4 linked regions of the Drosophila melanogaster genome follow. The protein of the gene in region 3 interacts with the protein of the main gene of each other region in a pairwise test. Each region holds a gene or a part of one and is shown on either strand. Other genes may lie near its edges.

Evidence for each region.
Region 1: the proteins of Blimp-1 (region 3) and Hr38 interact in a two-hybrid assay, tested with the Drosophila melanogaster proteins (one large-scale study listed by BioGRID).
Region 2: the proteins of Blimp-1 (region 3) and CG33695 interact in a two-hybrid assay, tested with the Drosophila melanogaster proteins (one large-scale study listed by BioGRID).
Region 4: the proteins of Blimp-1 (region 3) and Dr interact in a two-hybrid assay, tested with the Drosophila melanogaster proteins (one large-scale study listed by BioGRID).

Annotation. Positions count from the first base shown.
Region 1 is NT_033779.5:20,710,391-20,719,005, forward strand, and holds the start of Hr38 (hormone receptor-like in 38), read right to left. Parts: upstream 4,199-8,615; 5' UTR 3,080-4,198; coding exon 2,647-3,079; intron 1,911-2,646; exon of another isoform or gene 812-1,910; intron 617-811; exon of another isoform or gene 1-616. UniProt on the Drosophila melanogaster protein: Binds to NGFI-B response elements. Plays an important role in late stages of epidermal metamorphosis.
Region 2 is NT_033779.5:11,274,566-11,282,119, forward strand, and holds CG33695 (uncharacterized protein), read left to right. Parts: upstream 1-3,455; 5' UTR 3,456-3,547; coding exon 3,548-3,565; intron 3,566-3,585; exon of another isoform or gene 3,586-3,804; coding exon of another isoform or gene 3,805-3,828; coding exon 3,829-3,920; intron 3,921-4,009; coding exon 4,010-4,108; intron 4,109-4,189; coding exon 4,190-4,898; 3' UTR 4,899-5,282; downstream 5,283-7,554. Other genes in the region: cana (CENP-ana), read left to right, coding at 1-1,510, 1,572-1,772, 1,834-1,983, 2,040-2,291, 2,356-2,631, 2,690-2,770; Ppt2 (Palmitoyl-protein thioesterase 2), read left to right, coding at 5,807-5,950, 6,052-6,193, 6,256-6,363, 6,568-6,841, 6,907-7,105.
Region 3 is NT_037436.4:5,626,864-5,635,347, reverse strand, and holds the start of Blimp-1 (Blimp-1), read right to left. Parts: upstream 4,366-8,484; 5' UTR 3,867-4,365; intron 1-3,866.
Region 4 is NT_033777.3:29,552,247-29,560,609, reverse strand, and holds the start of Dr (drop), read right to left. Parts: upstream 4,225-8,363; 5' UTR 3,975-4,224; coding exon 2,765-3,974; intron 1-2,764. UniProt on the Drosophila melanogaster protein: Plays a key role in the specification of proneural and promuscular cluster formation. Required for the specification of dorsal and lateral muscle progenitor cells. Regulates development of peripheral nervous system derived from lateral neuroblasts.

The sequences.
Region 1 (8,615 bases), on a different chromosome or scaffold from region 3:
CTGGTCTTGGCAGATGAAGCTGCTCCGGGGAAACCGGTGTGCAGGGTGGTGTGAGCGGGGATGGTTTACATTTTCGCAGCGGTGTGGAGTGTCTCTACGAGTATGAGGAATGGCCAAAAGAGGCAACAATCAACAATGGCCATCCCGACAGCTGCCGCGGAGATAACTCACAACGCACGACGGATCGTGAATAACTACACAATGAAGGGGCTACGATATATTTTGTATCTAAATTTTTTCGGGTGTCATAGATATGTGAGTAGTTAGGTATTTTGTGTTTTGCATCATTTATCAAGCTCGTTTCGCTGGGGTTAATCAGTAAGGGAAGCCGCGATCATCTCGATCCCTGGCCAAGTGCATCGAACGTCTATATATGTGCGGCTCGGGCGGACCTTTTGCCGGGTCGCTTTGGGCCATGTTGAAATGCAATTGGCTACGCCCAAGAGATGTTGCCATGTTGAACGGGGCGTATGAGCAATCAAGGCAAATCGGAAAGAAAAGAGTAAAAGCAACAGTGTTTTCACACGCCCCGCCGTGAGCATCGAACAAAAACACAACTAAAAACAAAATCGAAATGTGACTAGTCGTAGGAATAAGAAATACGCTGACTTGTGATAATACTGCAGGCATACAGCCAACTCATCCCCGAAATAAGACGTCATCAGCACGTGGCCAGCCATAAATATAATGAAAATAAAATCGAACCAATTATGAGATATATATATATATATATAAATAGATACACATTTAGGGATGCAGCTGACGCAAAGAGAGTGCAATCTTTTCACGGTTTCGTCATATATTTTCGTTTTCGGCGCGACGATGACGTTTTCAGCACTCGTGCCTCGGGAAAACACCCGTAATGTGAAAACTGTGTGCCGCCTAATCCGTTAAACTGGCCGATTTCATGGCCCCGCTGGCGTCATGGCTTAAATACTATATACCACAACTAGTGGATGCACCTCACCTGGTCATATGTTCTTCGGCGATTTGTTTTGCTCTGGTTTGTCATCCGATGTCGGGCACTTTTGGCGCCCATCGCCATTATGGTACTATATAGCCAACTTATAAATATAGATGTTTGTTTTGCCACGTCTAATAGTCAACTGAGTCTAGTGCATTTCGCCCTGCATTTTCACTTCTGCAATCGATTGGCAACCCTCGGTTTAGTGTTTAACTGCATTTCACCATAGAAACTAATTTTCTACTTGGGTAGTTGTTTCAAAAAACCTATCCGAAGACTATCGAAAGGATACCTATCCATATGTAGCGCATGATAATCATTCTGTAATATTGACAATTAAATCAATTTAGAATGTGCATATAGTAGATTCCTGTGAATTGAAGGCTCACATGGCCCACTTGCAGTTGAAAACGCTAACCGCAGAGTGCTTAAAAGCTGATTGCTGGGAAACACTTAATGGGCGCTAAGTTAGCCGCAAAATACAGTCGCTTAAGAAGCGGCTAACAAGTGGCTAACCGACTTTGCCGCAGCGAATGAATTGGCAAAGCCTTTCAAGCCGTTTAGTAAGCCCAATAATCGGATGCCCCACCGCCGGGCGCCCTAACACCACCCACCGAACCAACCACCCACTCGGCAATGAAATGATCGATCTATCTTTCCCATGCTTGAGCTTCAATCGGCGATGTTTTTTTTATGCGGTTATTAATAAAAATGCATTGGCCATCCCTAGCCGTCGATAGTGAGTATCTGTGTGGAAATCGGACGCACTGCATCTGTGTGCGGTGTTTATTGTGCAGCTTGTAAATCATTTTGCGTCAGGCTGCGTCCGCTGCCGTCTGCTGAAACTGCGGCGCTTTGCTGACGCTGGTAAACATGTGTACGACACCAAAAACAGCAGCACATGCTCACCGAGAGCCAAGACGGGTCTGCACACACAACTAAGGTCAAAGTGGTGGTAATTGATTTAAGCCCGTCTTTACAGTTCGGTATAGTTGCCTCAATTAATTTTATGCAAATGCACTAAATTTCATAGCATACAATTTTTAATGCAAATGATAGCTTGAAACTAATTCTGATGTAACTATACAATTAATTTTATTAATGCACTAAATTTCATAGCATACAATTTTTAATGCAAATGATAGCTTGAAACTAATTCTGATGTGCTTAAAAAAAAACTATACCGAACATTTTTAGAGCTGCCTTTAATAGTACTCCAAATGCTTAAACTTTTTAATTGTTAAATCATTTTTGAATCATAATCCAAGAATTTTTAAAGTTCTCTGCCTCATTTTCTTGACCTCTACTGTGGTTGCTCTCGTATTTTGCGAATGGAAGCTTAATATTTTCACCATTTTTATGATGCATTTTGAGCAGTTTTCATGCAAATTTATGTCGTCATTGTGCGTTGTCCAACCTACCCCCACCAGCCACGCCCCCTTTTTTATTCAAGTTGCATTTTTCAGATTTTTTCCCGACCTGCCTTCTCAAACGGATTGAGCAAACAGTTAGCTTCTTGGCCGATTTGGCAATGCGCGCTGCACATTGCGTATACGCCGCGTGTGCTATTAGCGAATTAGAAGAAAACACCACAGCGGCGTTTGAGTTTGGAAAATACAAAAAAACAAAAAACGAAAAAGTCACCAACACCGATAAGCCGAAAGGGAAAACCAAATACATACATGTGTTTCCATTGGCAAAAAAGTGGCTGTTGCCGGGTGAGCTGGAGGTGGAGTTCGAGTCTGAGTTGCAGTTGGAGTTGGAGTTGGAGGAACTGCAGCAGGCCAGGTGATTGATATCGCAACCGTCGGGAAAGAGGTTGCGGCAGGGGTAAATCAAAGGCAGAGTCGGCAGAGGCGGCGGCAAGAGGGGATGTTGCTGGTGTGTTTGGTGCTGCTGTGCGTGTTGCAGGTGTGATGTGTGTGACTGCTGGTGTGTCGGGGCATTGAGGTTCTGTCTGTAGCAGGAGTTGTTGTTGATCTCCTGGAACAAACTGCTCTCGGTGTACAGTGAGGCCTCGCACTTAATGGCCGTTGCCTGGTGGTGGCTAATGCTCGTGTTGCTGCCGCCCTCTTGCTTCACCACAATCAGCGAGGCAAGCCGATCGCGCATCATAGACCACGATTCTCCGTTAAAGAACCCAAAATTAACAATGATGTTGATGGTGATGATGGGACACAAACATAAAACGCACACAGGACGGGACAACACAGATCACACACTATATGGTTTCTAAATAGGCACCTGTTTGGCGCCCCGAGCGGCGCTGGTGATCCAGCACGACTGTTCCGAGTTGGGCTGGGATTTTGCCTCAATTTTCTTGGCTGCGGCAGGAGTGGCCGAAGCTTTTGTCGCAGTAGCTCTGATTGCAGTAGTTATTATCGGGCTTCATTTTTCTGTCCTTGCCCGGCTGTTGTTTTTGTTGTGTGTCCTTAGACTTGAACTTGCCTCCTTTTTTTTTTGGCTTTTTTCTTGTTGCCTTTCCTTTTTTCCGGCGTTTGCGCAGTGGCCAAGTGACGATGTAAGCGACGTAACGACTTACGCACGCTATACTATATCAACTGGGGTCTCTATATACATATACATATATATTCGGTTGTGGTAGTTGCAGTAGTGGGAGGCACAAGGACGTTGCTTACACTTTACACACTGATACACACACGCGCGCAATGGGCAACACAAAAACAATTACTACTGTTCTTCAGCTCACGTGCTCGTTAAAATGTTAGCAAAACTTTCAGTTCAAAAATATCTGTGTCTTGTCTCTCAGAAATGAAACGAAATTTGAATTACTATAGATTAATTTACTGCACATTCGCAGCGGGGTAAGATAGATTAAACAAACATACGCAGCGTTGCCCACCGAAATATATGCATTGTTCGCTTAAGAAAGGTAAAGGTGAAGTATACGCCGCGTTGTCAACCGTTGGAAGTTATTACGCATACGCCGCGCTGTCGACCGGCTTCCGTTTCCGCATAGAACGAATGCACGAATCGATAAAGAACAACAACTTGTTGCAATTGTTTAACTCTTGAGCACTCACACCTATGTTGGCTTTGTGTTTCGTTAATACTGAACGCGATGTTTATATAGTTGTGTGGATTAAAGTCTTAGTTGGCTGACTTAAGATCGGAAATTCAGAACCATCGAGCTCGCCTCGATATAAGTTCTATATTTTGTATTGGCTTTTCCGTGAGCGGTGGCTGTTTGGGCTAAAGTTGTTAACAATGCGGCGTCTGTGACGCGACTGAACTTATCTTTACGGTTACACGCGACTATATTCAACGCGTCGCGTCGACAGCGCTGCCTCAGCTGGCGCCGTGCTGCGCTCGCGAGAGCGAGTGAGAGCGAGAGTGAGTGTGCGATGGAGAGGGAGGGGCGACGGCAAGCGAGCGGGACACGACCTACCTTTGCGGCCCGGCTATTACGTCATTTGGGGCCAACAACTGAGCGCAGCTCGTGCGAGGAAAATCGATGACGTCGTTGGCAGAGCGCCTGCGCCGGAAAATCCCCTCCACCCATTTTCAGCGACCGATTTTCCGAATGCAGTCCAGTGGGACAGTTCGGAAGCGGAAATTATGTGCGTCATAAAACCGACGTTGGCCATCCCTTTTGCTCGCATCTGAGATTGATTGGGGCTCTTGGTGCCGTTTCACCTGCTCCGGCTTACCACTCCGCCACCCACTTTTCCGCTTTTCCAACCGCCCACTGGGTATCCACTTCTCGCCTGCTGCCAAAACTTCCGTTTCTCTCAGTTATCGTACACAGGAAACATGTTTATTAATTTCAGGATATATAAGGACGTACAATTTGTAGGAATATTCCCTTATGCACATTGTACATCATCTACACACTTGTCTTTAAATATCAATCTCTTTTCCATGTGTAGACTGTACTCTAATGCATTTATAAAAAGCATGTTTTTAATGTTGTTTGTTTTTTTATTGTTTGTCTTAAACTACATATTCTTCTCAGTGTACTAAGTCTGTGTGGGCATTCTGTGGTGTCGTTTTGGTGGAAAGGACTTCCTTGCTCTCGTGTGTGTGGGTGTATTCAAAGCAAAGGAAAATGGACCAGATTTCGAGGAATATGTTTATGTGAGTCAATCCCATGATGGTGAGCGTGGGTGGAAAAGTAAAGCTATCATGTTAAATAGGAAGATAGAAATTTCGAAAAGAATAACAAGTATCATATGGCAAGAATTCAATATTCTATTTATAGTGATTTACTACTTTTGAATTTGGTTTATATTTATGCTATATAATATAATTTATAATTATGCTATAAATATTTCAAATTGAAATTGATATGCAAAACGGACTTTTAGCCTAGAAATGAGTCTGGTTTTCCTTTCAACTTAAATCACGATTTTATATTTATCTCAGTTACCCGCTTTTATTCCCTATTTCACTCCAAGTGCTAAGACAAATCGATTTCACACAAGATCCCAGGCCAATTTCGCTTTTCCACTTAACAAAATACCATCCTGCCACTTCATAAACCAGATCACTCTTTCCTCATCCCCAAATATAAATAAGCTGCGCCACAAATCATTTGGCCGATATAACTGGCAATAACACGATCCGAGCGATTTTCCCGCCCCGCGAGCCGTCGGAAAAGCGGGAATATTAATGCACTTTACCATTGACACCGGCGTTTGCAGCTCGTAAACAACAACGAGGAAAACAATAATAACGCAAAGCCAGTACAAATCTTCTCTCCCAAGATCGGCGACACACGACTAGAGAACGGTAAACCCGAAGACGCGGCGTCGACCGCGCTGCCAGCGTCGACTGCACAGAGAGTGAGAGTCTTGGCGCTCGGCACCCGAACCCAAATCCAAATCTTCGGGATCCGCAGACTCGTCTTTGCGGCGGCGACGTCTTCTGGCGTTTAAGGTTTCGTTTTCATTCGGCTTGTCGGCTTGTCGGCATGTCGGCCGCTCGTGTGCTGGACTGCATTCGCTGTGGCTATTTTTAGACAGGTTCCAAGCCACGTTTTCTAACTGTTGTTAGCGTACGAACCGGAGATCGCGGGCTGTGCACTTGGGCCTCTCCATGTGGAAGCCGCAGACAAAACGTGAGATCGCTGAGTCGGCCGGCCGACTGCTGCGTCGACCGCGACAGAGCCGAGCGACTTGGCTTTCTGGGCGCAGTGGCTCTTCCTTTCGTTTTCGGCTACATTTTTTCCCATAATGCTTTTGCCCGGGTCTCGCGGCTCTGGGTCCGGCTCACACTGCGGCCCATTGTGGCTCCGGGGTGCGGTGTGCTGTAATGTGCCGCTCTGTGGTGTGGCTTCCCATGTACATATATATTATTGTAGTTGGATTTGGGAGCGACGCAAGTGGAACTGGTCTGTGGCAGGCACCATGTGCATTCAGCACAGTGGCTGTGGATCACTCGTAAAAGGATGATGCCTCTCCATGGCTATTAAAGAAGTAGTTTCTAGGATAATGTGGTACTACCACTAGAGGTAATGAGTAGTGTTCCTAGTTATTACTCCGTTTATTCCCGATCTTTATCTATTTTTGTTATAATCTATATCTATAATCTTAAAAGCAGCTTTAGTGGCATTTCTATATTCATTTCATTGTAATATGAGAAATGGAAATATCCACGTTACTCATTAGTGGATGTTAATGGTCAGAGTTTTAGTAGTTCCATGGCGTATTAAGCTTTCTAGAAACCGCCTCCAAATCATATGGACTCTAAGCCACTGTTTCGGCCAGCTTTCTTGCTGTTGTCGATGGTGCTGTCGCTGTTCCTTTGGCGATTATGGTGGTGGCAGAGGTGGAGGTGGTGGTGGTGGTTCCAGTGGTGCTAGTGGGGCTAGTGGTGCTGCTGCTGTTGGCTGACCTGCTGGTGGCCCCAAAAAGTGCATGCAAACAGCTTAGCGTTGGAGTCTCCTAGTTGTTGCTGCTATCGCCGATATTGTTGCTGTGCCTTGGTTGTTGTTCTTGGGCTGCTTCCAAAGCGATTCGATTGCCATTGTTGCTGTTGTTGTCTCTGGCGGTTTTATTGGCTGTATTAAGCATGACATGCCAAGCCAAGCCAAGCCAAAGTCGCAGTCTCCGTCGAAGTCGACTTTGGAATCGGCACTCCTTGCTTTTGTCTCTCTGCCTTTTGTCTATTATTTATTGTTGTGGTCGTAGTAGTTGCACTGCGATGATATTCTAAATGTGCCGAGCCAAATTCGCTTCGTTTTGGCCAAGTCAACTTGGCTGGGCCTTAATGCATGTATCATTTTCGCATCGTTGCGCCCGCCAGTTCGTGAGTTTAATTTAAGGAATTTTTGCTCTTTTTGATTGCTATTTAGGCTTTGATTTTGCTGCGGAAAAAAATAAACGAAAATTCGCCCCAACTCCCCCCTGTAAATTTCAATTAGCATGCGGCACTTTGCATTGTTTCTTACCTTTTTACTTCTTCTATTGCTGCCGCATTTGCAACGGCGCCTCTCGGCTCATTTGCATAAATTGCATTTTGGGATTCGCCAACCCTTTTTTATAAACTTCACTTTCGATGCCCACTTTTTGCCTTGCCCAAAAAATGGTGACTTCCCCTGGCTAACTGAAAACAAAAACAGAAACAAAAATAAAACTAATACCAAATGGAAAACGAAACCAAAAACTCCGCTGAGTGCTTAGCCTGCAGGTGCATTTTGTGGCGAATTATTGTCATTATTTTTTTCAGTCTTCGTTTAACTATTAATATTTGTAACTTCACATAAATATATAGGTGTATTCCAAGTGCCCTGGCAATTTTGCGCTATTTTGTACCTAAATAACATTTTTGTGGGGGCTTTAAAGGCGAACATGTCATAACATCATCAAGTATACGCCCAGTTGCCATGGGTAAATCTCTTGCTCCAAAACGGCCAATGCAATGGGGCAATGCACATTTGCGGTTTTAAGTGGGTTATATCGATGGTTAGGGAGATGATTTACGGACTCACTGGCAAATTATTGTGGCGGGCACCTGGATAAATATGATCAACTTCATGTTGAAATATGACTTAATAAAGCAAAGGATTATTGGGTCTGCGGAAATGTGAGATTTTGGGACTTTAGTGGAATTTCGGTAAGCAAGCTAATGTGTTTTGTGAACGGTAAGCAAGATTTGAGTGGCAAATACGAAGTCTGTGCATCGCTTAAGCTTACTTTTCTGCTGCTTTCAAGAACATCGAATCATTTCCCTTAAAATCTCTGTTCCGCTCCATCTTTAATATTAAACTTGCCCCAGCTAGCTGCGTGCCATTTCCCATTCCGACCGCACAACTTATCCCATTATTCCTGACAGCTGCGACCTTGAAAGCTCGCACTCGAACCCAACCAACCCCGCTGTCCCTACGCAGCAATCGGCACGCCATCCGGCAATCCGCGGAGGGAGCCATCCAGCGGATGAGCGGAAGTGCGGCATTGATTTTATGGTCTGCTTCCGTTGCGTCTTGACCGCGTCACGTCTACAAGTTGCCACTGCTGCATATACAACCCCTCTCCCCCTTGACTGACTGACTGACTCGCATTTTCGTCACGCACGCCCCTAAGTAGGCAACACTTTCAGCGGTGTGTTTGTCCTTTGCTTATCTATCTCTACACTGGTAAAAAATCGTTGGAGTTTCTTTAAATTAAAGTGAAAATAGTAAAGAAAATCA
Region 2 (7,554 bases), on a different chromosome or scaffold from region 3:
CACCGAATATGAACGCCGAATCGAGCAACTTGAAGAATCATTACAAAGGGCACAAGAGGAATTAAGTATTCTGGAGAAGCGAAAGACAGATGAGAACAAAAGCCTTCAGCTTGAGTACATGGCGAAAATTGAGACGAGCGAGAATGAAAACCGCTCCAAATTCCGTGCATACTGCCTGGATTTAAAGGAAACCCAGAAACGCTACGAAGAGCAGCTACAGCAGACCAATGAAAAGCTCGCCAGTGTTACGACTCAGTGTCAGGTGCATTTGGATGTCATTAAAAGATCTCTTCAAGAAAAGATTACTCAGGCCGAGAAGGAAAGAAACGAATTGGCTGTCCGACACAAGGCAGAGCTTGAAAAAATCAGGGAAACGCTGAAGGAGAAGGAATCTTCTTACAAGGAGAAACTAAGGCAAGCGGAGGAGGAGCGCGATAAGGAAATTTCTAGGCTTGAGGTGATGCGAAACACAATAGCAGAGCTGCATAAAACGAATTCTGATCGGGAAGTGGAACTCGAGGGAGTGAAAATGGAAAAATGCCAACTTAAGAAGCTGTACGACAAAAGCATGTTGGAGCTAGAACAACTGCAATGCACTGCCGACCAGAAAAGTTCGGATTTGCTGCCAGGCTCGTCGAACGAGAACATCGATGACCTGCAAAAGAAGTGCGATCAATATGTTCAGGATTTGGAGCTGTTGAGGGGCGAGAAAGCAGAACTGCTATCGGAGATCCAGAAAATCAACGGACAGCACTCGAATACCATAAAAAAACTTGAGGAAATCGAAGCGGAAATGATTACACTAACCACTCAAAAGGAGTTGGAGAGGTGTGAAATTGCAGAAAAGCTGGAGACTTTCAAGTCCAAGGAGGCAGATATCAAAGAAGCTCTGCACTGTGCCCAGCTCAGGCTTCATGCCTACGATAAGCTGGTGTGCGAGTACGAGCGGCTAAAAGGCTGTCTTTCGGATTCAAATAAGTTGTCGGAAAATCTGCAGAAGAAAGTGGAGCGTTTGCATGCTGAACAGCTTGCTTTACAAGAAGGAATTTCCGGCCGAGATTCAGAGATTAAACAGCTTCGCTCTGAGCTCAAGGACGCCATTGATGAAAATAAAACAGTGAGAGAAGCAAAAGTAGGCCTGGAAAATAGTCTTAAAGCAGTACAGGAAAATATGTCTGCCCAGGAAGGTCAGTTTAAACAAAAGATTGCTGATATTAAGGGTTCAGTAGACGAGCTTCAGATTAAACTAAAATCTCTGCAAGAAGTAAGAGACCATCTAGAGTCTAGAAATGAAGAGCTTAAAAGAAAGCTAAAAGATGCTCAGGAACTACAGAACATGGTGGATAAGGAGCGAAAGCTCAATTCCTCTCTACGAGAAGATTTTGACAAACTGGAACAAACCAAACTCGATCTCGAAGAGCAGCTTCGAGCCAAGAAAGTAGAAATCGATCGCCGATCCAAGGAGCTTGGCGAAGTGACCAAGGATTGCGAAAATATACGATCCGATCTGGTAAGTTTTATTTATTTAACGCCTTCACTTTTGTATTCTATTATATTTTATTCTATACCAGGAAGCTCAAACTAATGATTTCCTAAAAGAAAGGGAAACTTTGAACTTGACTATATCCGATCTTCGGTTGCATAATGAGCAATTGCTAGAAACCTCGAAAAATTATCTATCAGACATAACAGCAGCAAATAATTTAAATCTCGAAATGAAGAAGAATCTTCACGATCTCACAAAAGAGTGCAAGAGCTTACGTTCCGATCTGGTAATAATTAATCTGGTAATCTATCTGGTTGATTACAATATAGGTAATTAAAATTTTTCAGCAATCCAAAGAAGAATATTTCCAAACGCAAAAGCAACTGTTGGATGAAACAATTTCTAATCTAAAGGAGGAAAACCGCAAGATGGAGGAAAAGTTGAGTTCGGGTAACAAGGCGCTCAAAGAGGATTGCGAAAAGCTCCGTTCAACATTGGTAATATTAGACTTGTCTTTGTAGGTTATTCGGTCGCTAATGAAATATTTATTTAGGAATCAAAGGAACTTATACTGCAACAGAATAAACAAGAGTTAGAGGAAAGGCTGACTGTTATTAATGAGAAGAATGGGAAAAACGCACTACTTGACGCCCAGTTGAAATCCAATGAAACCGCCTTTACATCACTGCGAAAGGCATGGATTAAGCAAAGTTTAGCCATAGAAGCGGCCAATAAAAGAAGCCTCGAGATGGAACAGAAGGTTGATAAACGTACGAGGGAGTACGAAGAACTACGATCAACTCTGGTAGAATAATTGCAATCAAAGGCTCTTATAAAATAGCTTAATGTTTTCTCTTTAAATCGCCTAGAAAACCAGGGAAATCAACTTTCGATCGGAGAAGGAACGCATGGACGGCACCATCTCTAGCCTGTTAGAAGACAAGCGTAATCTTGAGGAGAAGTTGTGCACAGTCACCGAGCTCCTGGCTAAGCTAAAGCGCGAACTGCCGGCTTTACACACGCAAAAAGTGAACGGAGGCGATGTGTCCATTGAGTTGAATTCCTCGAATGGATCGCCGACTCCTGCAGCTGTTCCAGCAACAAAGAAGCCCCTGGACTGCAATTCCGCTGAATGTGTGCCAAAGGTACGTATGATCTTCTAAATTTCAAGCATGTAATATTTTTTTTATTTCTCTCGTAAAGAAATCCAGCAGCCTAGAGACTGCGGAGCGGAAGAATCGACGGATGACGGCCTACGATGAGAACCGTAAGCAGTTTTGCTGAAACGACTTACGTGACGGCGGAACTACGACCGTTCCTTTAGGTAAGTTAAGGTTTGCTTGGCCGCGAAATCGTCTAAACTTTATGTGGTTTTAACTAATATTGCAGGTGGCAATTGCCACTGCGAGCAGCGGAGCTGCAAACAAAGACTGAGTTCGGACTGGAGGCAAAACGTTGAGTTCAACGATGATAAAAAAGATGATTAATGTTATCCAAGTATTAGGGATTTCTTTTGTTAGGTGTTATCTTGCAAACGGTGGAATTCCACATCATAAAGTTTTCTATTTATATTTACGCCCTAAGTATTTGTCAAATACTATCAATACAAAAATTACAAAAACAATCGTGATCGTAGTATTTAAATTTAAATCTGTATTATGCTGGTTTTTGTTTAATAGTTAAATTCGATAAATAGTTAAATATTGTTAATTAAGAAATGTTTCCTTCATCATGTGTAATAATATTTGGTTCATATGTATAGCATTGAATAAACTATTTACATTTTCTTAATGTTAAAATCAGATTCGCATAAGTTGCTGGTTCTAATAATAAAAGACATAAATTACTTAAATGTAAATCTAAATAAGCATAACGCTTCTTGTTTGAATTCCCGATTGCACCAATCGATAAGTCGATAGTAGCGCAAATACATATTCTAGTGTTGTGCATTGGAAAATTGACGGCCGCTTGAGTGTTGTGTACGGCGTCAGTGTTGAATAGCTGCGGACGCAAAACTACGTAAAATTACGACAAAAAAACAGCGCCCCGCGAAAAAAGGCCATGAACTCGGCAATCAAGGTAGGTTCAGCCGCTCCACCACATCCGCCGGCAGCTCCGACCGCGTTGATCCCGTCGCCAGCGCCTCCGCGCGTTGCAAGCGAGAAAAAGGCGGCGCGGGAGAGAGTCGAGAGTCATTCGTTTGTCTCACTCCTGCGAGTGGGAAATTTGTTGTTCCACCGTGAGTGGGCCGGCGGGCGGTGGGCAGGGGCGGTGCGTTTGTTTTGAATTTGCACGCGGTAACAACAAACTGACTCCGGATGCAAATCCGCATGCACTTGCAGGTGGGGGAGATATTCACGGCCGCCGGACAGGCGTTCAGCAGACTGGGCGATCTAACCATGCAGCTGCATCCCAATGCGGAGTCGCCATCGGGGTAAGTTGATTCTATGCGGTGGAGTCGCGAGTTTTGTGGACACTAATCGGAGTGTTTCTGTGTGCCTTGTTCCCTCGCCACGGCTGCAGGAAGTGGACGGACGAGGAGATCGACATGCTGCACTCGTCCATAATGCGCTTCTCCGACGACCTGACCAAGATCAGCCTAAGCATCAAGAACCGCACCGTGTAAGTGATCCTGTGCTCCTGGCGAGGGAACCGGCTGCCCAGTGTGTACGTGCTAGTTTTAATTGACCTTCCCCATTGCAGTTCTCAGATCCGCCAGGCGCTGAAGAAGAAGGCCTTCGAGGACGCCGGCATTCCCGCCAAGCAAGTGCCCGTCCAGCAGGTGCAACACGTTCTCCAGACGCTGCCACAACAGCAGCCGCAGCAGCCCCTTCAGCAGCCACCTCCTCAAGTATTCAAGTCACAGCCAATCGTGCAGCACGTACAGCTGGTGGCGCAGCCAAAGCAGATCATCCTGCATCCACAGTCTAATACAACTACGACGGGCACGACGGTGACTGTTAAGCAGTACCAGCAGATGCAGAAGGCTGCGGCATTAGCGGCAGCCCAGGCTGCAGCCTCGACGGCCAACAACACGCCCACCATCACGGAGAACATCATTATCCAGCAGCCCACTTCGACTACGGCGACAGTGGTGCAGCAGCCACATATGGTGTCCACCTGCTCGTCGACGCAGATCGTGGTGCCCGTTGTGTCGGCAGTGTCCACTGTTCCAACAGTACTCTCGCCCACGGTGGTGATTGCCGACGATGTGGTTAGCACCTCCAATCCTCCAGCGGCAGCGGCGACAGTAGGATCGCCAGCAGGGGCGCCAGCAGGCTTAAAGTGCGGACCAGACGTGTCCATGACCCTCAATCGCATCAATGTCCAGGAGAACGAGGTGGACGTGGAGGAGTGCCTGCCCGCAGAGGTGGTCAAGCTGGATTTTGTCAGCGAGGAGGTGGCCGGGTGAGGTTCGAGCCCTCGGAACGGGCTGGACTTCTTCTACTAGATCTCCGGCCGCAGAACGAATCACGTAACTTGGAACAGAACCGCTACAAATCCAGATCGAGAACTCTTAAGCAAAAAGGTTGAGATGCCGCCCTAGCCCTAAGTCTAAACTGTTAAGTGTTGTCATATTTGATATACCCTGAAATCACCTTGTTCCGGGCCCCGGATGACAAATGAATTGTGCGATGTGGAGGACGAGTCTGTGGATCGCCAGCCACAGAGCGTAGATATTAATTGCGGAGCGTATATGCGCCGCCTAGACTTAAATTTACGCAAGACACAATAGTGCAAAGTACATAACGACGATCGTGTAAGTTGAGAGTGAATAAACGAGCATTATTTTAAGATTCGGCGATCTCTGGGATTTTATTGGAGTTAGGAAAGCCCAAGGAGCGTAGAAATTTAGTTATTTGCAATGGCTTCTACAATCTCATTGCTGTAATTTGTACTTCATACTTTTATTTTGATCAGACTGTATTATAAAAGCATATATATAATTATATTTTTAAAGCACCCAATGCAAACTCAATTGTGTTTCTAATGGTCCGCTAAATTATATTGCATTTTATCTTTATTTGAATGTACCCATCCAATTTATGGGACCTATTTTATAAACCTTTCCTTTTAAATGCACACCACGTATTTTAAATTCATCCAATTATTGTACAATGAAGTCTCGAGAAATTTCGAATGCATTTTCAAATTTCGTTCTGCTCATAATTGCGCTCGCAACCCATACATTGCCATTCGCATGTCGGATTTCAAATCCGCACTTTCAGAATTTCCAAAGCGGGTAGCAAGAAGAAGAGCGGCTAATAAAGATACGGATACATCAACAACAACAGTCGGAAATCCATTGTTCCCCACAAAATGAGACTTCGTTTGCAAGTCCTGGTGGCCCTGTTAACCTGCTCGTCCATTTCCGTCTCACTGGCCTACAAACCGGTGGTCATACTCCATGGAATTCTATCAGGAGCCGAATCGATGGCCTCTCTGGTCCGGGAAATCGAAGAGGTTTGTTTTTCGATTCCCCTTTGTTATTGTTTACAGTGGCAAGGTCGAATTTGACGCAAACAACGCAGTAGCACTGATAAACTCATTTCGTCCGTTTGTAGTTTCATCCTGGCACTATCGTCTACAACTGCGACAAGTTCAATGGATGGTACAGCTTGGAGAACGCCTGGCGACAGGTCGATCAGGTTAGGGATTATCTCAACGAGGTGGGCAAACTGCATCCAGAGGGCATCATTGTGCTGGGTAAGGCAGCCGATTTTCATTAGAGTATTTTCTTTTAGTTACCAATACTATGCCTTTTTCAGGATACTCACAAGGAGGCCTTTTGGCCCGGGCGGCCATCCAAAGTCTGCCCGAGCACAATGTGAAGACCTTTATATCTCTATCCTCGCCACAGGCGGGGCAATACGGCAGTAAGTGAGATCAAAGTTTAAACCAATGAGTAAATTCTATTTATATAGATGCATAACTGCGTCACATTTTTCCGGGCTAAACTCTTTTAAAGCTTACAAGAAACAAATATATTATGTAACTGTGTTCAAAAATTACGCAGTTGGGTTATAAAACAAAGGGGGATCACAATGGTTCAAGTTTTTATTTTTTGGTAATATTTTCAGCTAGCTTCTTGCATCTAATCTTTCCCGACTTGGCGGCCAAGACAGCCTTCGAATTGTTCTACTCGCGCGTGGGACAGCACACCTCGGTTGGTGGCTACTGGAACGATCCGCAGAGGCAGGATCTCTACCTGAAGTACAGCGAATTCCTGCCACTGATCAATAATGAGAAGAAGACCTCCAACTCCACATCTTTTAAGATGGGAATGGTGCGTCTAAATAAGTTGGTAATGATCGGCGGACCCAACGACGATGTGATTACTCCGTGGCAATCGAGGTATGGTTTACTTAGTCGGATATTATCAAAGGTGAAATAACCACAAATCGTATATATTTCCTCAGCCACTTTGGTTACTTTGACGAGAATATGGATGTGATTCCATTTATTAGGCGACCGATTTTCACCAGCGACTCCATTGGCATCAGGACGCTTCAGGAGGCCGGCAAGCTTATCATTGTGGTCAAACCCCATGTTCATCATCTTGCCTGGCACACGCGAAGGGATGTCATCCACGAAGTGATATTTCCATATCTGGACTGAATAAGAAACCAAAACTACTGAACTATACTGAGCGATCAAACGGCTGTGATCGGAAAGGCGGACAAAGGCTCACTCTCATCAATAAGCATTAATGTGAAGTTGCTGCCTGGGTAATTAGGCTACAAACATGATCTTTTATTGGTAACTAAGCTATATATTTTTAAAACAGCCTGCGTATTGCAGCAGAGATTTTTACAAAAACTCATAAACTACTTATAAATAGCCAAATAAAGTGAAACTAGAAATTTTTAAATTGCAATTTCAATGATATATATTTGGATATTAAAATGAATCGTTAAAGTTTATATTTCATGTCGTCAAATTTGTTTGTTGAATTTAAATACTTAAATCTCCCGCGCATTTTTAGTTACTGATAGATAACAATAAGCGATAACTTTACTTATCGCTTAATGAAGAATCGATATTTAATCGATACATCCGCGGTCTAT
Region 3 (8,484 bases):
TTTTAAAGTGCATTGCAGACGTTGCAAAGCTCTCGCTGCATTTCTCGCTGCAGTCTCTCTTTTAACCCAAATTTTGCTCTCTTCTCTTTTGCAACGCATGCTCTGTTTGTGGGGGTTGTGCTGCCATTCGATTGCAAATTGACCGTTGACAATGAACTAGAGCTGCAGCCGGAAGTCTCGGTGCCAGGGACATTATGCAAAACTATTCGAATGAGCTAGACCTCTTCAGAGTTCATTTCGGCGTTGTCTTTGTGAATCTAACCGCCAACGAAATAGTCATAAAGAACGCCAAGCACGTTTTTTAATGGCCAGCGACATACAACTGTAAAACCGAAAAGTAATAGGTGGAGTACAGCCGGTGAATGTACCGTTAGGTTAATAAAAAGCCATTTTGTCATAGTCAAATTACGAGTGGCCGGCAAATTGGGGGATTACGTATTCATGGCGCGTAAATGAGCATAATTTGATTTCCAGTTCTAAAGAGAGGGGCCTAAACAAATAGTTTGACAGCTCCAACACCCCCTTTCCTATTGTAACAGCCAACTCTTTTATCTTTCGATCAATGATCATCAATGCACTGACAGAAATTGGTTCTTAACGTATTTGTGTAAATAACAGATATTTAATGCTTATGTTACATTCAGAGAACTACTGTGTGTATATATTATCTAATATTATCAATTTAGAGTTGGCTGATACTTTTTCGCAGAGTGCTCAATGTCACACTCTATGCACTGCAGACAATAACAACAATGTGGGCATTTACAGCTAAACACGATAGTGTCAAGGCAGCAACAACAAAGGCGACAAAGGCAACAAAACAACAACATTGACACAGAACCTGTCGCATCAAAGTTCAACGTCAAGTGAGGTTCGTAACTCGGCTTCGGCATTCAACTTCGGCTTGACATCGGCTTCGGCTTCGAGCTGTGCGCATGCGCATGTGCTCTCTCCTCTCTCCGCAGTGCGTATGTGTATGCATGTGTGTGTGTGTGTGCGCGCTTTGGTTATAACGCGCTTGAGTAGGTCGGTCATTGAACTTGTTTTCTTTTCATCTGCTGCTGCGCTACCACTTCTTTCGCTCCATTCTTTTGCTTGGCCACACTTTCTTCCTGGTTCGCTCTTTCTTTCTACCTGTATATCCCACCTGTGCGTCGGCGTTCTCTTTGCCGCCTCTCTTAAGCCTCTTATTAGTTTTGTATGTTACCTGGGAAGCTGCCGCGGATGACTTGGCAGCTCCACCTCTTCCTCAGCCTCATCCTCTTGTGCGTGGCAAGTGGCCAAGGCAGCAACAATTTCAAACGAAGATGCAGCTCCAGCAGAAAGCAAAAGGCAGGAAGAACCGCCCAAGGTAAGACCACGAGCGAGTCAATAACCCTGGCTCAAGCAAATAAAAAAAGCTGGCCAAGAGTAAGAGTGATTTGATTCCCTTTTCATCAGGCCTTAGAAGTGGCAGAGAACCGGACATAAGAACACCGGAGAAAAAACTTATAACTGATATTTGATTTGTTATATACTAGAAATCTAGCCATAATTGAATTTTTTTTAGCTGAATATGCTTTTAAGAATCCTAACTCCATTTCCGATGCTATTTGATTTTTTAACTTCATTTATTTTAAATGGAGCACTTGTTAAGCTCTTGTTTCCAGTGCAGAAGCAGAAGAACTTGCTGAGTGCAAGAACCTTTGGCTTGCTTCAGTTGAGCACGCCATGTGCCCATGAGCATTTGCCAGTTGAACGCCCTTTTCACGGCAAATGATTCCCAATGTGCGATGCCTGTACCATTGGGGGTGATCCGGGGATCCGGGAATCAGGAGGAGGTGGCTGAGATAGAGGAGCTGGCTGTTGCAACCTGCCCCAAACTCAAACCGTGCCCCTGGCCCAAGGATGAGCCGATCTGAACTTGTTTCCCCTCCTGGTCATTGGCTTCTTCTTCTGCTGCTGCGGCTGCTGCTGCTGCTAGCTGAAGCGGCAGATTCACTTTTCGAGGGGGGGATTTGCGGAGGGGATTCTCTAATTCTTGGCCTAGGTCCTTGGCCTCTCCCTAACGCTCTGTCTCGCTTACGCGCACAGCATCTTCTGTTGCTCGAAATGAAAACGAAAACCGAACGAAGGCAAGTTTGTTGCCTAAGTCATTTGTTATGTGGGGTGGGGGCATAGAATGTGTGTATGTTTGCGGCTGACAGTCAATGAACTCTCGGCATGCGTGCCAAAAAAAGAAACAGCAACAACAACAAATGAAGAAGAGGGAAAAGCCATAGAGGAATCAAAAGAATTGCTTTCATACACAAACTTAGACGGCGAGCTCATTTAAATTGCAAAATGAAGCAAGCTGTTTCCAAGCTATATAAGCAATATATGGGCGGATAGAGATATAACTCATTTCGAATGCCATTTGGAATCAAGTCAGGAGGGAAGACTGACAGCTCTGTGGGAGCAGGTGGCCAACGACAGAACTTGGACAGCTGCAGCTGCTAATGACCTTGATATTGAAATGATCATCGTGTGATTTTGAATCGCATTACAAATTCGCAATAAGTTTTGATTTCATTCGATCGGCTTGTCGTTGTGTTGTTCATTCATCTCTTCTCATTTCGATTTCGATTTCAATTTATTTGTTTATACAATATTTTATTGCCACTGCTGCTGGCGTTGTTGCTTTTATCGCCGTCTGTTGGAGCGTGTTAGCGTGCGATCAGTTGTCGAGTCATTTAAAGTCAAAGTCAAGGTTTTTCTGCCTTACGTCGCCAATTATCTGTCGCCATCTCGCTCCATCTGCTATCCAGCCTATAATTTGCTCTCTGTCCCTCCGTCGGCGTATATTTACCCCCATTTTGTTGTTTGTGCGATTTGTTTAAGCCCAAACTGGTTTTGTCTAATTATTTGTGTTGTGAGTGCTATATTGTTGTTTTTGCTGATGTGATTATTAAAATATATATTTTATATATATATATATATATATTTTTTTTGTTTATATAGGGACAGGAGATTGGCGTAGCTTTATACATGATTTTTCTAATGAAATGTCAGTCCCCATCATTCTGCCATCTCCCATTTGCGGCTAAGAAATTTTAGCTGCTTATGCCATTTTTCTATCCTGCCTGTAATTAATCATCATACCATTTTTTATCCGCTTTTTTGGGCATTTTGCTGAAAACTTGTTCTCGCCCAGTGCGACGTACTATTATATAACCTTTCTATCGAAAACTTATGATTAGCATAAATTGTATGTGAAAGTCTTCGTCGTGGTGTTAAGAATAATAAGATGTTGCTGGCTGCTGCTGTGTAACATCATGGTTAATTTTAAACGCTAGTCATAAATTATGATGGCTTTAATGTGAGATTTAGTGAAGAAAAAGTTGAAAATCAGGAATAGAACCCAAGCAATTAAGATGTCAATAAAAAAGTTGAAATAAAGAAAAATTATCTAAGAATAAATTAAAAGAGAAGTTTTGAAAAAAGTTCTAACTGGAAATTAGAAATTACCTAAGAACTGATTTGAAAGAAAAGATTTAATTACCAGTGGCCAGTATGATTTATTATGCAATTTATGGGAAAAGAACAATTTGTATTCATTCTCATTCTGTTATGACCGCCTTCCAAAAAAAAAACCCGCTCTAAAATTTCCTGAAGCTTCTCCAACGAAGACAGTCTTCTGAAGAAAGCTTTCTTTACAGAACTTTCGGGAACTGCTTCAAACTAGACAATTTCAATCTGTAAACTTAGACCCATAAAAACCCTTCATCGAATTCTATTAGCAAGCTCAATCGTTAGCTTGTCAGCTATATAATTGACTTGGAGCAATAAAAAGGCAGCTAGGAAAAGTTACGAAGTTTATATAAGGTAAATCATTTAGAAATACTTACCATGTTCAGTGTTTAAATGCATATCCGTTCCGTGTTGTTGAGGTTGCTGCTAATGTTGCGGGTAAATTTAAATCCATTACGCAATAAATCCAATCCGAAGCCGAAAAGTGCTTGCTGGCTATTTAAGTTTCGATCATAATAGACACTTTGTTATTCTTAAACTTTTCGAATATAGTTGAGCAAACTATATTTTTGATACACAAGTGCACTGGTTGGGGAATTGAACTAATTGGCTTAGGTCTAGTGGAATTTCATTTGCATAACTAGGGGCAGTCTTATGTGTATGTCACTTTTTGTCAGTTTAGCTGATAGACACAAATCACTTTGAATTGGGAATTGTAGCTTCTAGATACACTTAGTTTCAGAACTTTTTGTGGGTGGGTGTATGTTGCAAAGTCTGGTGGATCAGTGGTCTTTTTGCTGTCTTGAAGCAAGTAGAAGCGTAACGCGTGCGTCTTACGAAATCATGTCTCGATCGTTTTGTTGCTTACGGGAAACTGAAACTACGGATGAGTCGCGGTGCGACTTCAATGTCGATGTCGTTAGAGGCTTCTGAAGGCAGAGCAGCGGCAGCGCGTCGACTGCGCAGACAGATAGACTTTTCAGCATTTCATTACACGGCCTTACGCACACACTCGCACGCCCAGCACTCTCTTCTTTCTCTTCAAACACACCAGCGTATAGCAGCACACACCAACACACAGGTAGGGCGCAGCTCAGGTGTCTCAGGTTCTTGATCGCAGTGCCATTTACACTGATCACAACCACATCTCGGCGCTCTCTCAGCTCTCTGCCCCTCTCTTTCTCTTTCACCCTATCCGTCTCTTTCACTCGCGCGCACTGAGCGCAACAGGCCAGAACTTTCATTCAAGGTGAGCGCGCGGGCGCAGGTATCTCTTTGGCAGCACCAATACCCTGGCAAATACCGCCACTCTTTTTCGCACAAAATATGTAGTTCTAAACTCTTCTAACACACAAAAATAAAAAAATTATACAATATTTTTAAAGCAATATCGATGATCATATAGTAATCTTAAAAGCAGCAATATTATAAAAAGTACTAGAATTTAAATTAAATGACGGGATTAGAGACCGTACTTTTGAAACTAAAGTTCGTATTCAAGCTTTTTAATTTTCGGATATGTAAGTTGTAAAAATGTTTAACCTTGTTTTGAAAAGAAATGAATGAATGAAGTATACGCCTACTTGTAATTTTAAGTAAAATAAGAAACCATTACAAATATTTCCAGCCTAATCCGTACTTCTTTAAGTCGAGCTGAGCTTTTTATAAGAGACTGCGATGATTTTATTTTCAGTGTACCCGCAGTCTGGCCAGCGAGCGTAAATTGAGCATGCGAGCGTAAAATTACAACACCACTCTTCTAACAAGTTTAGAATCGGCGCAAGCCAAGCGCAACAAAATGCCGTCCGTGGGCCACTTGTTCTCAATGCTCTTAACCCGTTTGGTGGGGGCTCTCTCTCTCTTGGCCAGAAGTTTGGCACGGCATGTAATTGGTTTGTTCATGATTTGTTTCTGTTTCAGTTTTATTTCTGTTCCTGTTTTTTTTTTTTTGGGTATCAAATTTCATGATGCCATAATTGCATGCAAACAATTGGCAAACAAATGTCGCGCTCGCAAAATGGGAAGTGAGAGCTTTTTTGCATCACTTTACAAGGTAATTTATCATTGTGATGGATTACTTAATTTCGGTTCTTAACTTTATGCAATACTTCTAAGCAGCTCTCCAGTGAATGGTGAAACAACTTCGATTTCATACAGATTTCTTTACATGTATTTCCCAATTCGTAATATTATTCAAAAAATGAGTTTAGTTAAAAGTAAAAGTATAACTTTGAAAGCTCCTTTAGATCAATGGACATCTGTGCATAAACGCCAGTCATTCCATGACTCAATCTCTGAACCATTAATGATCTAATCGAACTCTATAAAATTGCGCTATAAATAAAGTGTAAATCACTTACTCAGAGACCACATTTTGAGTAGATACCAACTTCCTCTCCATCAAGCCTCTAGCCGCAGTCGTAAAAATGGGTGAGCATATCGTCAAAAACCTGGATGGTTAATAAATATATAATTAGTGGGAAAAAACACTTAACATTCCGTAAATGGGTATTGCCATTCTATTAAAGTCTGCCAAGACAAATTGAAAAACGAGCATTTACATAATTTAAGTGTAATTGACCACGTGGTGTAATCAATATTTTAGCTGGCCAAGCCAACCTTGAACTTAACGCCCGATGAAAAGACAAAAGACGGAGGATAGGATGCGAATCAAAAGGTAAATCCGCATCCGTTTTGTGGCCGGGAATAAAGGCCTAACTCATTAGTTTCTGCCACACTCGACTGCCGCTGCCATCATTCTCTATAAATAACAATTGAAGCATTCAAAGTTGGCTTGGAAAAAAGCGAAAGACTCTGTGCGGCAACTGGGATTAGAACCTTTTTTGTTTAGCCATTAGAACTCTTTTGGCTGAAAGCAAAAACCCGACGCGATGGGGTCAATAAATTCTTAAACACCACACGAGCATGAACATAATTTTAATAGTTAATACATCATCACTCATTTGGCCGTGGAGGAAAACAGTTTTTTAAGCGCTCGAAAAAATAAAAGTGTTCTAGGCAGACGGCTTAAATATATAATAAATCATCATCATCATGGCATTAGGCTGAAAGTGTAAATAAATACGAATATATATATAGGTGCGGTAATTAAATGTGTAATCTACGCTTAGTTGGGGAAAGGAACGCGCTTTCAAGTTCAACACATTCAGCTAATTTGAATATCAATTTATTAATGGGAATAGCTTCTTCTTTTTAATCGTGCATCATTAATTTTTAGACGTCCAGAAAAGGAAAGAACTTTCAACTAAACGAATAAACAAAAGTGATTCTCGAAAATTGTTAGCATAAAACTATTGCGTCTTAGGGAATGGAATCCCGATCGACAACAAATTCCGCGTATCCCATAATTGAAAGTTGAGAAATGGAAGAGGAAGCATTCTCTTTTAAATAAATATGAATTCGTTTGGGGCTAAAAGCAAAAGCCTCTGGCCAACAACAAGTGCCTTTTAGGCGGTTGTATTATTTAACACCCAAAAGAAGAAAAAAAAAAACACGAATACGTACGGGGTTTACCCTCACAAAGTTAATGTGAGAGACATACGGGTATATGCGTAGGCCCAAAAAGCCGGCATCTACAGCTGGCTTGTTGGCCCGGCTTCTTGGCCAACTCATCATCGTTTTGCCCGCTTTTGATGGCTCTTTCTGGCCGTTCCCGCCCTTCCCTCTCAGTTTTTGGGCGCAACAATCATTTCTTTCTTTACATTTCATTTCGTTTTTTGGTTAGCCAAGTTTATTTCAAGCTCACGCACACGCACGCAGTTGGCCAGGTTCATTGACTTCTTACCAAAAAATAAAAGGGGGAAAAGGAACAACAATTTTTGTATCTTTCGGTTTCTGTTTCGGACTCTGTCGCGTTCTTTGGTTCTTCTTCGTGGCCGCATTGTGTTCTTGTTGTTTTCGTTTTTTATACATTTCGTTTTCATTGCTGGAGTTCATTGGCCATCAGTTTCAGCACCATCCAAGCCAAAGAAGGTGCTGGCCGCACTTCAACAACTAAATGATGGCTGAAATGAAAAGGCCCAGGAAAGTTACCAGTGGTAGCAACATACATACATACATAAGTACATAAATATATGTATTCATTATTTATTACATTGGTTATCGGTTTTGCTTTATTTTTTGGCAAGAAAAAGAAATTCTTCCACTTGCCTCCTTTCCCGAATTTTGTTTTGCATATTTCTCATCGGCCCGTTTCGAGTTTGTCGCCTGAGTCTTTTGTTTTTTCGGGCGCTGTGATTGATTACCGGGATTAAGGCATAATAATTCGAAAATTATTTTGCATGACACAACATCAAAAACTAGTTAATTTATTGTATTCAATCTTCACGCAATGGCGGTGCAGAAATCGTGGAAAAAAGGCTAAGGTAGTTAAGAATAATTGGACACTGAGCTGCGGTTGCGCAACTCAATTCGATTTGCATTTTTGTTGGCAATTAATTCCTCCTAATTGTTGGTAATTATGCTTTAGTCAGGGTAGAAATAATGAAGGTCATTGGCTGTCATTTATTTTTAACGCTTAATGTGATAATGCATACTAAGAATTAAACACAGTTGTTAAGAGAAGAATCAGTATAAGTCCGTTTTTTGAATCATATCAGCATTCTCTTTAGTTAACTTTTTTGAAACTTTAATCAAAAAATGCAACAATCAATCAGGAGTCCCAGAAGGACTCAAGTCCCCAATCAATCTTAACCCAAATCTCATAAAGACCTCCGATTGTTTGTTTGTACGGTCTTTTGGTCGTTTTGTTTGCTTGGTCACTCAACAAATTAAGGAGTTCGCCTCAGCTTGCCACTTGTTGTCAGCTGCTACTAACAACAACAATCTCAGATCTTGCCATTAATTACCGCTCTGTTGGCAAAAAAAAAAAAAAAAAACACTTTTTTTGGCCTTCCCAGTGGGTAAGTAGTTCAACTGCTGCTGGTAATGTTGCAGCTGCTTCTGTTGCTATTTCAACTGCTATTGCTGTTGCTG
Region 4 (8,363 bases), on a different chromosome or scaffold from region 3:
TGCATGTGTGTATTTAGTACAGCGTATGCACGTTAGATGGCGTGCAGAATGCAAATATTATTTTAGCTTTTGACTCTTTCGGCTTGGAGCCTTGCAAATGGTGTTAAAACGCATGCAAACGGCCCCCTTAACCCCTCGCTGCCCACTTATCGACAGCACCGGGTCTTCCTTAACCCTCTTCTCGCTTTTCGCCAACCAGCAGCCGTCTGTCAACGTTTAAATTGCTGCCGTTGCTGTTGAAAATTGCGTGTTTTGGGTGGGCGTTGCTGACATGCCACACCCACCGTTTTGGCCAGGTTTTCTCGCCCTCTCTCTTTCGCTCTCTTGCCATAAAGCATAGTGTGCATGTGTGTGTGTGCCTGGCTCTATGTATTTATGCAATGACTCCCAAGTTGTTGCTCGTTTGTTCAGCTTGAAAATTAATTTCTATAATGGCTGCCAAGAATTGCAGCTGCAATGCGTGGTGGCTGAGTAACAGGGGCCGTCGAGGGGTTAAAGGGGGCAAAAATGGGTGGCATGTGCAGCATACGTGACTCGACTGCGCTTGCAATTAGTTAAATTATGAAGGCACAAAGGGAATTCCCCATATTGCAACACGAAGATGCTAATCAAATGGCAGGGCAAAAAACCATACAACTTCAAGCCGACTGACTATGTGTGTGTGTGTGTGTGTTCCCTCTAATCGATGGTAGCTTAATTTAATAGTCCATGAAGTAGCCGACAAACGGTAGCCAAAAGATACAACCTGTATCTACCAGTTAAGCATTTGCCGAAGGCACTAAGTACCTAACACTTGACATAATGCCGCAGAAGATAGCGGCGCAGGTCAGAAGGGAAACCCTCCGGAAAAACAGGGGATCATCAGTCCACAGAAGACAGCAACCTGCTGCGCTAATGAGACACGCTGAACACAGGAACCAGAAACTGAAACCGAGACTGAGGGCCAGAAAACAACACAAAATAAAAAAACAGCTGCCAAATGATACGAAACGAAACGAAATGAAATGAAATGAAGTTGTTCGACTGTATTTTATACACATGCAGCAGTTGACAGCCAAATGACAAAATAAGCGGCAAATGTTTGGAATAGTTTATTCATCTCGGCATCTTTATAGGGAAGGAACGAAAGATAGCTCAAGTGGTTGATGAAGGGCGGTGAATTGATGGCCCACATCGAGATTGATTTATATCGATTTGTTGAACAGTTCCCTTTTGAAATATTTTGGAATTTATGAAAGCACTTTTAGAGATGCAGTTCTGGAATTTCATGTATTAATAGTTTGAATGAGGCGGTAATATGGTAATACTCGAACTAACCTACTTTAAAGCCCAAATTTCCTAATACAACACCCCATTTGAAGCCCTTTTTTTCAAAACACAGCCGACAGCTTTATAAAACAATGCTTTGTAGTGGCAAGAAAAACCCGAGCATATGCAGCAAAAACAGGAACAATAGTTGCTGTTCTGCATATAAAAAGCAAATTTACACTTTTTTGCCCACCGTTTTTGCACCGCCCTTTCCGAGTTTTTCGAATGTGTTTGAGCAACTTTAAGGAGCGGAAACGCAGAGTTCGCGATGGCCGAGTAAAGTTCACATGTCAGTCCGGCATCAAAGTGTGACTTGTCGAGTGTTTTCCCCGATTTTCCACCAGTTTTTCCCTACGACCCGCGGTGCTTTTTGTCCAGGAAATGCAGGCAAAGTGTGAACTGTGCATGCAGATAGAGATCGCCCAGTTAAACAGCCAGACTCGCTTCAATTAGTCTGGCTGGTCGGTTAGACAGTCCGCTTTTTACGCGCTTATTATTAGATTTTCCAATTCGGGAACGGTAATGGGGGGCTGGCTGGCTGTCAGACCGGAAAACACCGAAAAACGCCGCTGGCCAGCGAGTGCAATGAATAATCAGACGTGGCCAATTGAGTCAAATCAGAACCGACGCGACTATCATCAGCCATCAGCCATCATCATCATCATCATCATCAAATAATGGGCCCAGCGCAATCAGGCAGTTTTCATTGTTTTATTTAAGGCCCCGCAATAATTGCCACGCACTTTGACTACAAACTGCAGTCACGATCACTTCCATTCCATAGCCATGATGACGATGACGACGAGGTGGCCATGATGGAGCACCCGCAGCTCGCGTCCGACCAGGAGCGGAGAGTCACCATCGATGCCAATTAAGGCGAGGGGCGGCAGTTAATTGAATTAAAATGCGACACAAAATGGTGTAGATAAAGTTGCCACCGCACATGGGGCATAAAACAATGAGGGGTGGGGTGGGTGGTTTGAAATTCCTCCATTAAATAAATCGTTTTTGAATACACATCGCTGGCTGCTAATGGGGAATTTGCTCCCAAGCGGAATTCGCGTATTTCTATTGTTCACGGGTTCAGAAGTTCATGTTTATGGGTTTACAGTTAATTATAAATAAATATATGAAATGTAACTATATATACACTCATATTTACTTTGATGTTAAGGCTCTAAATTGAAAATATTTTCGAAAGAGAGTTGAGGTTGTTTTTATTTTTTTTGAAGTAAACCTTTTGAGTTCTATATTCTCTCCTATATATATTTTTATTTTCCCATTATTTAATTATGCCCATGCTGAATCCTCCATTGCAAATGAGTTTAAAATATCGCTTAGGACAGGACAGTTAAGCACATGTAACAGATAAGGTTTATCATTTCCCCTCTAGGAAGTACAAAAACCGAAAACAAGCTGACAAAAACCCCACAAAGAACTGGATAACGACACTTACCTCCACCGAATCCTGCTCCCGGAAACATGCCAGGCGGTCCGAAGGGCGGCATTTGTCTGGTTCCTGGCCACGGAACTCCACCGCCCATTCCCGTCCAGGCCACCGCCGCGGCGGCCAGTGCACTGAAGGGGGTCGGGCGGATGGGCACATGACCGGAGGCCAGGGCCGCCGGGGAAAGTATCGTGGATTGCATGTGAGAGCCCGGCGGCGGACCGTGCGGCGATTCCAGCGACTTGCCGCTGCCGTCGAGGCCGTCGGGCGTGGAGCGCGGCGAGTCGTCGGCGTTCATGTCCTCGATATCCACAATGGAGTCCTCCTCCTCGTCGTGATCGGCCTCGTGGTCCTGCAGCATCTCCTCGTCGTACTCCAGCTCGGAGTCCGTGTGGCTGCCCAGCGGCGAATGGCGTTCATTTTTGGCGGGAGTGGAGGCCACATTGCCCTGCGATCCCAGTGCGGATCCCAGTGGCGTGGAGCTGGGCGTGGAACTCGTGGAGGCGGGTGGCGAGTTGGCCCGGGCGTCCGCCTGCTGCTGCTGTTGGCGCAGCTGGGCGGCCATCGCCTGGTGCTGGGCATGTGCCGCCGCAGCCGCGTGGGCGGCCTGCAGCAAGTGGGCGTGGTGCGCGACGGCGGCGGGATGGAAGGTGTTGGCGGGAACTTGGGCGGCCGCACTGGCCGGCGGAGGCGGCGGCGTGCTGCTGGCCTGGGAGATGGGCGAGGTGGCCGCCGAACTGGTCAGGTTCTGGGGTCCATCCGCCGCCTGGTTGGGTGGCGTTCTGGGCCTCGTGTCCGCCAGGAGAGAGGCCACACTAAAGTTGCTCAGTCGGGAGGTGGTCTTGTGCAGATGGTGGGCCGGCGGATGCACTGCGGCCAGCTGGAGCGCCGCCGCCTGCTGCTGCTGTTGCTGCTGCTGCTGGTGTTGCTGGTGCTGCTGCAGCAGATGCTGCTGATGGGCCAGCAGCAGTGCCGACGGCGAGGTGGGACTGGCCAGGGCATTCAGGCCAGCCGGGTGGCTAGGACTCAGGTTGGTCAGGTTGCTGCTGGTCATGTTGCCGCTGCTCATGTTGCTGCCGCTGTTGCTGCCGCTGTTGCTACTGCTGCTGGTGATGATGAGGTTACCCGCGGGAGTGTTACTGCTCGGCGGCACCGTGGGACTGGTCATCGTCTGGCGCAGACCTGTAACTGTCATGCTCGCTGGGCTGAGCTTTAACATAAAGCCTTTCGATCGTTTGTGTAACTGTGGCTCGTTAATACTGTGCTTTAGGTGCGCCGGTTAATTGGTTCATTGAGACATGGTCTGCTGTTAATTTGTTTTGATTATCTTTCAATTAATGCGCTCGTTCGTCACACGCTTGGGAAACACAGACACACACTGTCACACGCGGCGTTTTGTATCTTTTCAGGGGCTATTTATTTCCAGAGAGAGACACGTCCTCTTGAGATCACGTCTGTTCTGCGACTGAAACTGTGGTCGCAGTTTCGGATGCACCGCTGCCTGCCACACAGATACTCACTCACACCGACGCACTCGACGATTGGTGGTGGGAAACCGGCTGTGTAGAGCGTGCCTCTCTCTCACTCCCGTGGTGGAGTGCACCGCGTGCGACACCATTTTTATTGGTTTCGAGACTAGCTCGCTCGCTCTTTTTTTCCGGTGTGAGTCTTGTATTTCTCCACTTTTCTGACTTTTGTTCCGCCTTCTTTTCTCTTTCGCTCTCGCTTCAGTGTGGTGAGTTTGCCGCACTCTTGCCGTACAGACAGAGATGGTGTAGCTGCCCCGCAGTATAGCCGTCCCTGTCGCACGCCTAATTATTATTGAATAATTCAATCTTCAAAGCGTTTTTCCACTTTTTTTTCGAGCTGCTGCGCGTATTAGCATTTTATAACAAGCAGCGGCGGCAAACGCCTGTCCATTTCCACTTTGGTTTTCTGGCTTTTCCTTCCATCTCCATTTTCCCTCTATCTCCCTCTTTATCGTTTATGACTTCATTTGGCCAAATTGGCGTGATTTTTTAAGCTTTATGTACGCCTAATATGTACATATATATGTATGTATATATAGACCAGGCGGTTTTTCAATTTTAATTGGCACTCCTACATGTCCTTAGCGTACAAGAACAATATAATAAATAATAAGCCCATCATTATCAGGGCCCCAAAAGCATCAAATGTCGGGTGGAGCGGCATTATCGCAAAGCTGCAATCTCGGTCAGGAAATTATGTTTTTTCTTCCCTTTTGCTCCACCTCAGGAGATAAGCCATAAAAATCGGATCGGTCCACATAAATCGAACGTCCCGGGAACCCGGCCGAATCAATCACATACATATAAATGTGAAATATGCAGGATTATATAGAATTTTGCCAACCCCCATAAGCTCCATAAATTGCAAGGTTGGCGGGTGGAGTGAGGGAGGGAGCGGGAATACCGCACCCTTTATAATTCTCGCTCTACAAATTAAACTCATTTTAAGGATTATTATGTGAAATTGTTGGCTTGAAAACTTTTGCCAGCCATTGTTCAGCTGCTCCTTTGTTTTCCGCTGCTCGAAGGACCAAGTTGTGAAAATGGGAAATGGGCGTCGGATTGTGCGGGTTCGCTCGGCTTTTCGGGCGGCAAGTTGGTGAAAGGATTTTAATGACAATTGCCAGTGGGTGGAAAATAAAGAGCTCAATTAGAACAGTTGACGAATGGCTGTGTGGTTGCCTTAATTAGTTGCAAACGATGCTGAAAATGAAACGACTCTGCATGATTGGGGAAATTCTAGCCAATTAATTTGAGTTCTTGCCTAAATGGGTTGGGTGAAATTTAGAAATATTTTTATATAATTTCTGAACTTTTTTCAAACTCTTTCCGAAATCGTTTTTAATTACACTTAAAAGAAACCAAGACAGTAAACTCGTTTATGAACTTCTCACATTTCCCAGCCATTCAATTAACACTTGATATACCTCTTACCACTTTTCCAACGCCCCTCTTGACTGATTAAAATTTTTCCAACTTCCCAAAACTTGAGCTCTTCATTACGATGCCCGGCAATTCCGCTTTCTTTTCAATTAAACATTTCGAAATGGCGGCAAAATGCGATGAGAGGCCCCTCAGCTCGTTAATATCATTGTCTGCGTCTCGTTTTCTATACTTTGTGCCGTTGGCATAAACAATTATAGCCAATTACAAATATTAATTTCTCAGGCCAAGCACGTCGAGCGTTTCTTCTTTTATTTTCCACTACTTAACCACCATCATTATTCATTGCGCTTTGAAATACGCAAATGAGCGCCGAAAAAAAGCAATACAACAACGAGGCGCAAATTAATTTTTCAATAAACATCATAAGCGAGCTCCAGCCCCCTCCACTCCCCCCACCTATTCTCGATCCCACCACTTCGAGATGAAACGAAACCGGCAAAAGCAGCAGCAAGTCGGCCAATAACAAAAGCACCAACAAAGTCCACGCTTCGGCCAAGTTGGTCATTTGATAAATGGCCGCCGATTTGCGTGCGTGCAGTGATGACTGCGATAGATTTTAAAAACTAGCTAATAAAATATTAAAAAATATATTAAAAAAATATTCACCTTATGTGACTAGAAATGTGCAATTTATGTTTGCCCAATAAAGTTGTTATGTCTTGCAGTGAAACAACAAACAAGAAATATTATGTTCACTTTGAAATAACTTCAGAAATATGCTTTAGAACAGATTCTGTTAATTTTTGAAAACTTTTAACTGAAACATATTGAAAACTAGCTAGGTTTGGCTAATAAAAAGCCTGCTGCCCAACACTAAGTGCGTGGATCGAAAAGATCACGTCGTTTTCCTCACTTTCCTTCCCCGCAACGAGCGTATGTAAATGTTTTGATAGTTTTTCATAATTTTTCGAATTTATATATCCCGCCGACCGATTCCGATTCCAGTTTGATTGTAGAAGCTATGGCTGCGGAATGAGAGGTGGGGCTATTTGGACGTATATATGTAGTTGGCCATGATTGAGTGGGTGTGTGTGTTTGTGTGTGGGTGTTGCATATTTATGTGGGTTGCCGCTTTGCTTTGTGTGCCTTTTTTGTCAGGCAATTAAATGAGAATTTGGTGTTTTATTGTGCAATTAATTCCGAATTGAATTGCATAATTGTTTGTATCCGAGAGTGAGCAATTACCCAGTCGGCAAATTGTTTATTATACCAGCTGGAAACGAGAACAGCGCTAGATTCTGTTTTATTAATGGAATGATCAAATTTAATAGTTTCTTTTACTCGTATTCAAACTAAAGGCACTAAGTCATTAACATTTTAAGCACTCTTCTAATTAAATAACTCAGAAAGAGATACAGCTGCACAAACATCCTTTTCCAACGATAATTAGCAGCTCGCCGAATTTAATTCCGTTCCCCAATTTTCAAAGGACCTCCTAAACGACGCTAATTTCATAGCGACCCAGCCAGCAATCCGCCCCACAGAGGGCGGCACTGTGCCAGGACAACCAGCCAAGCGGCGCATAATCAAAATTTCATTATCCTTGCGATGCGTTAAATCGCTTAAACAGGCCGAAAAAGCGAAAAGAGCGAGAGAGCCAACCAAGCCACCCAAGCCACCCCAGCCACCCACTCCACCCACAGAAATAACCTTAGCGGACCAGCAAACAGTTGACATGTTGACAGTTCAGAAATTTCCGAAGGACGCAGGACGAGGCTGTTGCGAAACTCGGCTCAATAAACGCCACAGCACAGGACGAAAAGAGATGGTGGATCCTGGGGATGCGATGCTTTTCGAGGGGTTGTTCGCCGAGTAAATAAACCATCCCCTTGCAAAACCCTGCGGTTGTCAGTCAGTCATTTAGTCACAGCGGCTGTTGTGGCAATTGCGGCTGCCTCACACAGATACACACCCATACAGGGCCATTCCACTGCACACACACACACAATACTAAACGATGGGGTGTTGATGATGGCGCAGAACGCTCGTTTATTGAATTACATCCGCATGGCTGAGCATTTAACGAGCTCTCGGGTGTCGTTTTGCTGATGGCGTAAATGTTTGGCAAACAACAAGCAAATAAATAAAGTTCTGATTTGGCACTGATTGCCTTCGGTGGGTGGGTGGATCTGCGTGGATGTGGGCCCAATCGCTGGCTGGCTGATTGACAGCGCTCTTTTGCTCTATTTTAATTTTTTTATTTCACCCTCTTGGCTTACACACAGTCAAAAAATAATTAACGTAATAATTTTTAATTGATTTTAAGTGATTATAATTAGTATAATGACAATCGTGTTTAAAGGATGACTTAAAAAAGAAAAGACAAACAAGAATATTTTGAAGTTAGATAATAAAAATATGATTGAAACATATAAGCTATTCAAAGTAAATTTTCTTGATATAATTATTCATATATTTCTTTCTCTGTAGCGGCGAACAAAAAAGCTGGTCGTGCGTCGCAAACTCGTTTATGATTATTATTTTTTGCTGCCATTTTTATTAATTCATTTTGTATTTACTCTATTTATTCAACTTATTCTATTTATTCAGTGCGCTGCGGTGCGCAGCGTATTATGCCCACCCTAGACAGCTTCTTATCTTCATTGCCGGCATTATGTGCGATAAGCGCAGGA